Linked DNA regions of Ovis aries. The protein of the gene in region 1 purifies or fractionates together with the protein of each later gene. This does not show direct contact. Links are inferred from orthologs where the notes say so. Each region holds a gene or a part of one and is shown on either strand. Other genes may lie near its edges.

Region 1 (4,387 bases):
TCTTGCGGAGTGGCTGCAGCTTCTGGGAAGAGGCTGCCACAGAGGTGCGTCTCAGGCTGACCTGGTTTCTGCAAACCACTCTTGAAGTCTCTGGATGGACAGCCTGCGGGCGGGGAGGGTGGCAGCCCTCAGGGGTCAGGATCAAGTGGATAAGGGGGTGGCTAGCAAAGACCTGCCTTTCAAGTTGGCGTCCAGCTGGAAAAAACAGAAGAGGACGGCGCCCTGGCTGCTTGGCGGGAGGCGGGGAGGGGTGTCGGGGAAGCAGATGAGTGCTGAGGCTGAAGGACGTGCCAGGGGACTCCAGGCCAGCTTCCAGCTACCTGAGTATCTGCTGGATGGAGCTACAAGTGCAAACCCATAAGGGTGGGAGCCCTGGCACATTCTCGGAACCCCAAGGAGTTGTGGCTGGGTTAAGGCTGCTGCCAAGTGCCAAGAGCGAGACAGGTGGGCAGGAAAGCGCCACACGGTGACAACGTCAGAAGCCGTGCTGAAAAGCTGCAATCCCTCAGAGGGCTTCAGGAACCCCGGAAAGGTCTTAAGCAGAAAAATTGATGTGAAGTGCTTTGTGTCTAAGTAAGACCCCTGAGCTGAGAGGAGGCAGGGAAGCATGTTCGTTTAGGTTCATCTAGGTCAGAGCCCCGTGGGGAAGAGAGGAACTCCAGAGAAGTTCAGAGAGGTAACAGTTTCCTGGTGGCTGCTACTGTGGCTGCTACTGCTACTGCGAATGATGGAGGCATGCCGGAGGCCTGTGGGGAGACGCCAGATAGGCCAAGTATGGCGCTCAGTGAGCTTCAGAGAAAAGGGTGGGAGCTGCCAGAGCCCGCCATCCTCAAGCGTGACAAGAGGGTGGAGGGCAGCCGGAGTGAAGGTCTGTCTCTAAGAGAGTAGTAAACACGTTTTCTGTGCTAGCGGAAGGAGCCAGCGAAGAAGAAAAGAGGGCAGCTGCTGCAAAGACCTAACCACCGCTGGAGCAGGTTCCGGGAGGGCCAAGAAAAGATGGGATCCAGGGCCCAGGGGGTGGGTGGAGATGCTGCGAGCTTCCAGATCGTTCTTCCTGCCCCCAGCCTCACAAGCCAGCTGCAGAGAGTCAGCCGGGAGCCCTGGTGTGACCCACATCTGACCCTGGATGTCTTGACCCCTCTCCACCGCTTTCCCCACGAAACAGAAACCTAAAGAGGACCAGCCAGCGGCTCTCCGAAGCCCCGCTTCTAGCCCTTTCTGGAAGGCCTTCGCTGTGTCCATCGTCCCTGGGGCCGAGAAGCGCTCTCCTGCAGCCCTCGGAGCCCTCCTCCTCCGGGAAGCTCACCCGTCCGCCTCGCCGGGCCCCGGGGCGAGGCCTCCGGGAGGCGTGACCGCGCGCGGCGCCCCCGTGTGGCCGGGGCTGGCGGCGGTGGCGGCAGCCCCGGGTGCCGCCCCTTCCGGCCCGCCGGGCGTCGCACGAGGCCGCCTTAAAGGGGAAGTGAGTCAGTGTTCGCGGACCCGGCCGGCCGAGGCCCGCGCCCGCCGCGGCCCGGAGAGGCCCCGGCCCGGCGGCGGCGGCGGCGGCGGCCATGGCCGGGGGGCCGGGCCCAGGAGACCCCGCGGTCCCCGGCGCCCAGCACTTCTTGTACGAGGTGCCGCCCTGGGTCATGTGCCGCTTCTACAAAGTGATGGACGCCCTGGAGCCCGCCGACTGGTGCCAGTTCGGTGGGTGGCCGCAGGCCGGCAGGGCGGGCCGGGGCGGGCCGGGGAGCCGCGCGGGACCCGGACGCCGCGACCTGACGCCCCCCTGCCCCGCAGCCGCCCTGATCGTCCGCGACCAGACCGAGCTGCGGCTGTGCGAGCGCTCCGGGCAGCGCACAGCCAGCGTCCTGTGGCCGTGGATCAACCGCAACGCCCGCGTGGCCGATCTCGTGCGCATCCTCACGCACCTGCAGCTGCTGCGGGCGCGGGACATCATCACTGCTTGTGAGCGCGGCCCCGGAAACCCCCGGAACCCCCAGGACCCTGGGACAGGGGCCGCCCAGGGCTTGCCTCGGAGCTCCTCCCTCCAGCCTGGGCCTAACGTCCTTCCCTCCCCGGCCTCCCAGGGCACCCTCCCGCCCCGCTTCTGCCCGCCAGCACCACCTCCCCGACACCCAGCAGCATCTCCACACCCTCTGAGGCTGCGGTTCCCGGCCACCGGAAGTTGCCGTCTCTGGCCTCCACCTTCCTCTCCCCAGGTAAGAAAACCCGGGTTGGCCTGATGAACCTCAGGAAAGGACCCCCTTGCTCCTGGCCACCCCGATAGATCCTGCCACTGGCCTCTGCCTGCCTTTCACTGGTGTCTTTGCGAAGCTTTTCCAGGCTCCCAGACTCACTCTGACCCCGAGCTCTGCCCTGGACCAAACCCAGCTGCCCACCAGCCACCATTGCCATCTCCAGCCCCCTCATCTACCAAGGTAGGTGGGTCCTGCCCCCCACCCAGAGGTTTGATGCCAGCAAGCAGTGACAGCTGCCTTTGGTCCCCTGGGCCACCCCAGGCAGCCCTGCAAGGGTGGGCTGAGGCAGAGGGGAGGATATGGGACCTCACCTGATACAGGGTCTCTTCCCACAGCCCAGCCCGGAGAGCCCCATGCCCCTCCTGCCGGCGGCCCCCTCCTCTTCGTTCTGCTGGCCCCTCCATGAGATTTGCCAGGGCACCCACGACTTCTCAGAGGAGCTCAAGATCGGGGAGGGCGGCTTTGGCTGTGTGTACCGGGCAGTGATGAGGAACACCGTCTATGCTGTGAAGAGGCTCAAGGAGGTGTGTGGAGCATCCTCGCCAGGGCCCTCAAGGGCTGTTCCCAGACTCGGGCTTTTGTGGTCCTCCCCCACCCCCTTCGCAACCCCACAGGGTTCCTTCAGCCCTGTGATTTCACAGTCCAGGGCCCCCAGGCCCGTGCTCCTTCTGGGCCCAGAACAGGTGGCGGGGGGTGGGGGGCATGAAGTCCGGGCCACAGGAGTCTCACACTGCCAGTCCCCCCTGCCTCATTCTCCCCGAGGGCTGCAGGAGGCTGACCTGGAGTGGACCACAGTGAAGCAGAGCTTCCAGACCGAAGTGCAGCAGCTGTCGCGGTGAGCCTGCAGGCAGGGGCAGGGCCCCACCAGGACCACATGTCCGGGGACCTGGCTCCCCATTGGTCTGCAGCCTGCCAGGCCCAGGCGAGCTGGGAAACCTGGTTAGGGACCATCGGCACCCTACACCACCCCCCAACAATGGCCAGATGGAAGGCGTGCTGGATGCTGGGAGCAGAGCACTGAGACTCCACTGTTTCAAATAGGTTTCGTCACCCCAACATTGTGGACTTTGCCGGCTACTGTGCTCAGAGTGGCTTCTACTGCCTTGTCTATGGCTTCCTGCCCAATGGCTCCCTGGAAGACCGCCTCCACGTCCAGGTAAGCCTTGCCTGGCCTGGCCTGGCACACTGTGTCACTCTTGGCACCTGGTCCAAGCGGGACATGGGGCTGGGGTCCTTGGCCTCAGTGATCGGGACCTCTTCATGCTTGGAAGCCAAGCTCATGGGGCCTCTGAAAGGGGCCCCATCTGCTCCCCTGGGCAAACAGAGTAGCGGAAGGATCTTGGCGGCATTGCCCAGAGGGCAAGAGGCAATGGACAGCCCCTGGGCCCCATCTAGAGAGGCGCCCGCAGGACACAAGGGCTGACCAAGCCCAAGACAGGAGCATCTCTGACCTGACACTTCAGCGCTCAGGGGAAGCATAGATGGGCATCAAAGACGGTGGCTCCACGGTCTCCCCTTTCTTCCTTGTGCCCCTCCAGACACAGGCCTGGCCCCCTCTCTCCTGGCCTCAGCGACTGGACATCCTTCTGGGCACAGCCCGGGCAATTCAGTTCTTACATCAAGATAGCCCCAGCCTCATCCATGGAGATGTCAAGAGGTGAGGCGGGGACACGGCCAGTCCCTGGGGGCCTTTGAGGGTGGCAAGAGCCCTATGGCAAGGGGTGATGCTCCCACACCTCCCGCCAGCAGGGACCGGGGGTGCCTGCTGCCTGGTCCCTAGGAGCCTGGCCCTGAGTGATCCCCCTGAGAACAGGGGACGTCAGGGCTGGGGTCTGAGGGTCACTGAGCACCCAGTGTGGGCCAGGGGTGGACATGGAGGCCAAGGATGGGTTCCACTGGTGAACAGGGCCTCAACTGCAGGATGGGGCTCTGGGGGCCACTTGCTCGGAGCCCCAAGTGGCCAGAACACCATGAGCACGGGCCACAATCCGCCACTGAGGTGCACGTCAGTGGCTCCGGTCTGATTGTCTCAGGACCAGGCAGGGGGCAGTAGGTACAGGGGTGATGAGTCGCAGAGAGGGCTAAGGCCAGGCTGACGCCACCGCCTTCCGTCCCCAAGTTCCAACGTCCTTCTGGATGAGAGACTG
Region 2 (3,642 bases), on another chromosome or scaffold:
TCGTGGTGACAGACACTTCCCCCGGGGGAGGGGCTGCCGAGGGCCCCTCTGCGCAGAGCACCATCTCCCGCTACGCCTGCCGCATCCTCTGTGACCGCCGGCCACCCTATACTGCCCGCATCTACGCCGCTGGCTTCGATGCCTCCAGCAACATCTTCCTTGGAGTGAGTGAGCACTCCCAGGCAGGGACCAGTGCTGCATCTGAGAGTGAGCCCCGGGGTAGGCTGGGGAGGGGCAGTCTCCAGGGGTGATGGACCAGCCTGCAGTAATCATAACCACACCCTATGCGGGGATCAGCACCCCCACTTAGCAGATGAGCAAAGTGAGGCTCAGAGAGGTCAAGTGATGCCCAAGGTCATACAGTGCCAATTCCAGTCCTCTCTGGGCCACCTCTGGGCTCCAGGGTAGAGGGGCAGCACTCCTGGCTCGAGGCCTGCTGGGGGCCACTCAGGGATGTGATCTGATCCCACGTGTGGTCCCAGGAGCGGGCAGCCAAATGGCGGACCCCCGACGGGCTGATGGACGGCTTAACCACCAACGGGGTCCTGGTGATGCACCCAGCAGGCGGCTTCTCTGAGGACTCAGCCCCGGGTGTCTGGCGGGAGATCTCGGTCTGTGGGAATGTGTATACTCTGAGGGACAGCCGCTCGGCACAGCAGCGGGGGAAGCTGGTAGGTGGCCTGTCCACCCTCCTCCCCATCCCCTTGTCCTTCCCGGGGCCCTCCCGATCTGCCCTGCCCCCTGCCCATGCCAGGAGGTGATCTCCAGTCCTGCTGCACGGGGCAGCCCCCAACAGGCTCCATGTGGGGGCACACGCCGTTTGCCCCACAGAGGGGACCAGACCAGCATCTCCAGATGTGGCCCACATACTGCCAGAGGCCCACGGGGTGATGTGAAGTAGCACACACAGAACCTGGTATAGCTCCACACGCTTCTGAGGATGTCAGCAGCTGAAACTCACAGTCTCTTATGAGAGTGACACTTGGCCTGTTAGTGAGCAGTTTATAGCCTCAAGTGTTGGTGGTTTTTAACATGTCTGTCACGTTCAGGCAAGTTTAGCTTTATTCTTTCCTAGAAGGAAAGGGCCTTAGAGTAGTGCTAACACAGGTGATGGGGAACCTAATGTTGGGAGCTGGGAGAGTCCTAGAGAGAGATGGGGCTTGCCCAACGTCACATGGCCACGATCCTCAAAGGGGCCACATAGACGTTTTCGTAGGTGTGAGCACATGGGGCAAGGAGATGCCGAGCCTCGAGGAAAAGCATGGCTTATCTTCCCAGGGCCTCAGTTCCACTGGGAGATCTGGGGAAACGTTATTTTGTAAAATTAGGTTTGTGAGCCTCTCACTGGTACCTGCTACTGAGCACCTACTAGGTCCCAGGCACTGTTCCAAGTTCTCGCACTGATTCATGAGACCCACTTGCTACACAGGGAAGTAAAACCTATCTTGAGGACAAGGAAATTAAGACACGGAGGGGATAAGTTCCTTGAGCAGAGACACAGAGTTAGTAAACACTGAGGCCAGAATTCATGCCCAGACTATCTAGCGCTAGAGTCCTTGCTTTTAACCTCAGCCCTTAGGCTTTGGGCTAAGTCCCTGGTGTTTTGGACACAGGAGATTCTGGCCTCTGCCATCAGGGAAGATGAGCTTGAGAAAATGTTTTAGAAAACTTCCATTTTGGTCCAGGCCTTGTTTTTGGCCAGTATGTGGCATGTGGGATCTTGGTTCCCCGATTAGGGCTCGAACACCCTTCAGGGGAAGCACAGAGTCTTAACTACTGGCCCACGAGGGAAGACCCAGTCCAGAGTCCAGGCTTTCTGATTTGACAGATGAAATGACCAAGGCGCAGGTTCCAATGAGAGTAAGGCATGGTGCCTGCCTGGGATTATTTTTTTCTGGCCTTGCTGCCTGGCTTGCAAGATAAGATCAAATCTTAGAAGACTTAGAAGAATCAGGGATTGAACCTATGCCCGCAGCAGTGGAAGTGCAGAGCCCTAACCACTGAAAGTCCCTGCTAGTTTTGGGGGTTTTGGCTTTTGGGGGATGGTGCTTCCCCAGGACCACTTTTCCTGCTGGCCCATGGGGCTTCTTAGCCTCCTCTGGTCCTCTGCCCCAGCCATTCCCCTCCTCTGCCCCAGCCTACCCTCTCTGCCCCAGCTAGCCCCACGGGGGTCCAGGGTGCTCCCTCCAGGGAGGTTCAGGGGAATGGATGGGTGGCGTGACTGGGGTGATGGCGGCCGGATGGCTGGGGGTTCAGGAGCCCCTTGGGCACAAAGGGCCCCCTCTGCTGCCCCTGCAGGTGGAAAACGAGTCCAACGTGTTGCAGGACGGCTCCCTCATCGACCTGTGCGGGGCCACGCTGCTGTGGCGCACGCCGGCAGGGCTGCTGCGGGCGCCCACGCTGAAGCAGCTGGAGGCCCAGCGGCAGGAGGCGAACGCGGCTCGGCCCCAGTGTCCGGTGGGCCTCAGTACCCTGGCCTTCCCCAGCCCGGCGCGCGGTCGCACAGCGCCCGACAAGCAGCAGCCCTGGGTGTATGTCCGCTGCGGCCATGTCCACGGCTACCACGGCTGGGGCTGCCGGCGAGAGCGGGGCCCCCAGGAGCGCGAGTGTCCCCTCTGCCGCCTCGTGGGGCCCTACGTGCCCCTGTGGCTTGGCCAGGAGGCCGGCCTCTGCCTGGACCCTGGGCCACCCAGCTACGCCTTTGCACCCTGCGGCCACGTCTGCTCTGAGAAGACTGCCCGCTACTGGGCTCAGACGCCACTGCCCCATGGCACCCACGCGTTCCACGCTGCCTGCCCCTTTTGTGGGGCCTGGCTCACCGGCGAGCATGGCTGCGTCCGCCTCATTTTCCAGGGGCCGCTGGACTAGGCTTCCCGGGGCCCCTTGCTGCCGCGCCTGCCTGCCCGCCTGGGTCCCCCACCTCCAGGGAGCTCTGCATGTGAGACTACCTGCTGGCTCATCGCCACGCCAGATGGACGCGTTGGGTGGGCGGTGCCCTTCCCCTCCTAACTTGGGCTCCAGAGGGGGTCCCTGGACCCCCACCCCGGACAGAATGATGAGGCTCTCAGCACCAGCTCTGTCCTGGGCTTTGGAGGGAGGCCCAGCCCTATTGCCCCAGCCCTTCTAGGGGCATCCCCCATCATGCCGCCTACACTGTGCCCCTGGGGGAATGAAGGGACCATGGGTCCCTGACCCCCAGCTTAGGCTGGCTGTGCCCTGAGCCTGCCAACCCAGTTCTAGATAATCACCCCACCGCTGCTGCCCTGGGTTCCCCTATAAACCTGCTGCTCAGCTGCCTTCACGAATCTGCGTGTCCCGCATGCGTGCAGTGCCTCCAGCCCCCGAGTGAGTGCCGGGTGGGCGGCAGGCTGGGACCGACATCTGCGGATACCCACTGGGGACTGGACTCCTTGCCAAGTGTTATCTGGGGACACAGACCTGGCTCCCTGCCTGGTTCCCTCCCCAGTAACTGAACGACAGACCAATTACTGAACGACAGCATTGCTTCCTGTGTGCTAGGATCAGAGTCATCAGGAGTTTCGAAGCAGGTCTCACGGGTGGCTGGAAAAGTGAGAAGTGAGACAGGCTTCACTGGAGGGGCTAAGGGCTCTGCCTTGGTGGCCTGCTGGGAATCCCTACAGG
Region 3 (3,090 bases), on another chromosome or scaffold:
GACACCGGAGCCCCACGTGCTGCCCGTGTGGAGCAGGGGGGGGTCTGCCGTCCTCAGGACGCTGGGCCCGGTGGGGTCTCCTTCCTCGACGGGGTCTGACTGGGACTGGGTGCCCAGCTGGGAAGGCCTGTCCTGGAGGGCCGGCAGAGGGGCCGGCGGGGGAGTCTCGGTGCTCGGGGTTGGGGGGGTGGCAGCTGGGGGTGGCCGTGGTGCGAGGGCTTGACCCCCGTGGTGTAAATGGCTGAGGTCTGCTCACCCCCATTTTTCCTGAGCGTCTGGCCTATCTGAGAGGCAGTGTCCGGGGCCGAGATCTCTGGGGTGATGTTGGGGTGAGGGGGAGACCTCTGGGTCATGTCGGGGGTGGGGGGAGACCTCTGGGGTCATGTCGGGGGTAGGGGGAGATCTCTGGGGCAGTGTTGGGGTGAGGGGGAGACCTCTGGGGTCATGTCGGGGGTGGGGGGAGACCTCTGGGGTCATGGGGTGAGGGGGAGATCTCTGGGGTCATGTTGGGGTGAGGGGAGACCTCTGGGGTCATGTTGGAGGTGGGGGGAGATCTCTGGGGTCGTGTTGTGGGGGAGACCTCAGGTGAGACCTGGGCTCCGCAGCAGAGGGGCTGCCCACTGAGCTTGCCTCTGCTTGCAGGGATGCCCGCCGTGTGCAGCCCCGGCGTGGTGCCTGTGGCGCTGCCCCCAGCCGTGAGCGCCCAGCCCCGCTGCCGTGAGGAGGACCTGAAGGCCATCCAGGACATGTTCCCCAACATGGACCGGGAGGTGATCCGCTCCGTGCTGGAGGCCCAGCGGGGCAGCAGGGACGCAGCCATCAACTCCCTGCTCCAGATGGGCGAGGAGTCCTAGACATGCCCGCCGTCTCGCCGCCTGCCCGCCCGCCCAGCTCTCCCGAGCACTGTCCCCAGCAGATCCCCGTGAACATGCCCCGCGTAGCCCCTTCCTTGGACGTCCGTGTTGCCGTCCTCGCCCTCGTTGGGATGCATGTGGTTTTGGTTCTTGGAGCCGTTCTCCACGTGGTCGGGGCGGGGGGGGGTGGCTCTCCTCTCGCTTCCTGAAGGGTGGAGGCGGCGCGTCCCGTGCACACGCCCACTTCCTGCTGGCCGTCCTCCCGGGAGCCTCTCCTGGGAGCAGCTCCCCCGCAGGGCCTCGGTGCTGGGCCCCTTCTGGGTTGACAGGTGGTCTCTCATGATGCCGCCTGCCTGGGTAGACACACTAACAGCTGCTGTGGGTCGTGTTAGGGCTTCAGGACAAGAAGCTCCGCTCCTCCCCGTGGCGGTCTCCCTGGGCGCCTCGCTGGGGTCGGGTGGACCTTGCCTCGGGGCCCAGCCTGGCGTCTGCAGCCACGTCCTGAGCCCGCGGCCCCGTAGTCTTTCCTGCTGCCTCGCCCTCCATGCCGTGTTGTCCCGAGGGGTCGCCGCCCCCAGACGCGCGCTGACTGTAGAGCTCGCTGAGGTGGGTGTCGGGAGCAGACCCAGCCCTCGTCCCCGTCTGTCAGAGGCCTCTGAACTCTCAGCTCACCGCCGACCTTGTGTAGGAAGCTGGGCCGCAGGCTGGGTCAGCGTGGTGACCGCCGGCACTGGGAGGTCTTCCCGAGAGGCAAGAGGCAACCTGCGGTGTGGGCGGCACCCTGCCGCCTCTGGCCGTGGACACTGAGGATGGGGCCAGCTGGGTGGAGCCCCATGGAAATGAGAACACGGTGCGGCCAGCCACGGTTGCCGCTCTGCCTGGAGGCCTTGCCCGGCCTCTGGACATGGAGACAGACCCCACCCCGAGGCGGTGAGGACTCAGACAGACCCCAGTCCTGTCCCTGACGTAGGCTTAGCGTGAAGCTGGCCAGCGGTCAAGCCAACCAGACCCCTCCCGTGGCGGCCCGGTGGCAGGGAGGCTTGCGAGGGGGGTTCAGACCACCGGTGCCTTTGCCGCAGGCGCTCGGTAGATGCGTGAGACCAGCGGCTAAACAGCCGCACGCTGGCTGCAGCACGGTGACCACACAGCGCAACTCTGATGGCTGACCCCAGCCCGGGCGGCCCCACGCTGCCTCCCCGCCGCCGCCTCCCCCTGCCTGGGCCTCCGAGGACAGGAGACTTGGCTTCAGGGTGGCTGAGACCTGCCAGCTCGGGGTCCTTTGTCGCGGACGCCTGCTGCTGCACTGGGTCAGAGGAGGGCGCATCAGTAGGGCCTCGAGATGTCCGGTGGCCCTGCTGTCCCTGCTGCTCTGCTCACGTCCGTGCTCGTGTCCAGGCCGCCCCTCGGGGGGCACTAAGCACGGCGCCTGTGGCTGCCGGGCCCAGGACTGGGGTGCCTCACAGGTGGTTGTTGCTTGGTGTCGGAGAGGAGAGGCGTGTACAGCAGGCTCCCCACCCCACTCCCGTTTCAGGAGCCCTGCTGGGTGTTTGCAGAAATGGTCCTTGGAGCTTTGCGTTTCAGATCATTCTGTTGGGGTCCAGGGTCCAGATTCCTCTTTGATTGTAAGATATGTTTGTACCTTTCAGCCTTCTAACTTAATAAATGATCTATGTAAAAACAAAGTCCAGTTCTTCAAAGAGAATTTACTGTTTTTATTCCACTTTAATCTGGCTTGTAATAAGCCAGTTGATGAAACGGTCACCAGCAGACTAGTGAGTGAAGGCACAGGGCAGAGGCTGGACTCTGCCCGGGAGCCTAGAGTGTGAGCATGGAGCTCAGTGTGTGCACGGAGCCTGGCGTGCAGGCACGAAGCCTGCAGGGAGCAAGCCTACAGAGGATGTTAGCACCCTCGGTTCCAAGGTGAGCTCCGGCCTGCGGAGCGCGAAGACAGTTCACACACAGGCGCTCCAGTCTCTGGAGAGTGTAGACACTTCACACGCGTGAGCTCCAGTCTGCGATAAAAACAATTCACACACGTGAGCTCCGGTCTGCGATGAGTGAAAATAATTCACACGCGTGAACTCTGGTCTCTGATAATTCACACACGTGAGCTCCAGTCTCTGGAGAGTGAAGACACTTCACACGCGGGAGCTCCGGTCTGTGATAAAAACAGTTCACACACGTGCGCTCCGGTCTGTGATTAAAAACAGTTCACGCGTGAGCTCTGGTCTGTGGC

What was found.
Region 2: the proteins of IRAK1 (region 1) and PELI3 purify together in Homo sapiens (affinity purification with western blotting; 7 studies listed by BioGRID and IntAct, with this or other methods). This does not show direct contact. The link is inferred for Ovis aries from reciprocal best matches to the Homo sapiens genes IRAK1 and PELI3.
Region 3: the proteins of IRAK1 (region 1) and TOLLIP purify together in Homo sapiens (affinity purification with western blotting; 11 studies listed by BioGRID and IntAct, with this or other methods). This does not show direct contact. The link is inferred for Ovis aries from reciprocal best matches to the Homo sapiens genes IRAK1 and TOLLIP.

Annotation. Positions count from the first base shown.
Region 1 is NC_056080.1:80,278,629-80,283,015, forward strand, and holds the start of IRAK1 (interleukin-1 receptor-associated kinase 1), read left to right. Parts: upstream 1-1,466; 5' UTR 1,467-1,550; coding exon 1,551-1,947; intron 1,948-2,069; coding exon 2,070-2,201; intron 2,202-2,316; coding exon 2,317-2,420; intron 2,421-2,575; coding exon 2,576-2,764; intron 2,765-3,010; coding exon 3,011-3,075; intron 3,076-3,281; coding exon 3,282-3,396; intron 3,397-3,778; coding exon 3,779-3,897; intron 3,898-4,359; coding exon 4,360-4,387.
Region 2 is NC_056074.1:40,941,618-40,945,259, forward strand, and holds part of PELI3 (E3 ubiquitin-protein ligase pellino homolog 3), read left to right. Parts: coding exon 1-164; intron 165-482; coding exon 483-671; intron 672-2,298; coding exon 2,299-2,868; 3' UTR 2,869-3,642. UniProt on the Homo sapiens protein: E3 ubiquitin ligase catalyzing the covalent attachment of ubiquitin moieties onto substrate proteins. Involved in the TLR and IL-1 signaling pathways via interaction with the complex containing IRAK kinases and TRAF6.
Region 3 is NC_056074.1:46,576,266-46,579,355, forward strand, and holds the end of TOLLIP (toll-interacting protein), read left to right. Parts: intron 1-642; coding exon 643-854; 3' UTR 855-2,536; downstream 2,537-3,090. UniProt on the Homo sapiens protein: Component of the signaling pathway of IL-1 and Toll-like receptors. Inhibits cell activation by microbial products. Recruits IRAK1 to the IL-1 receptor complex. Inhibits IRAK1 phosphorylation and kinase activity.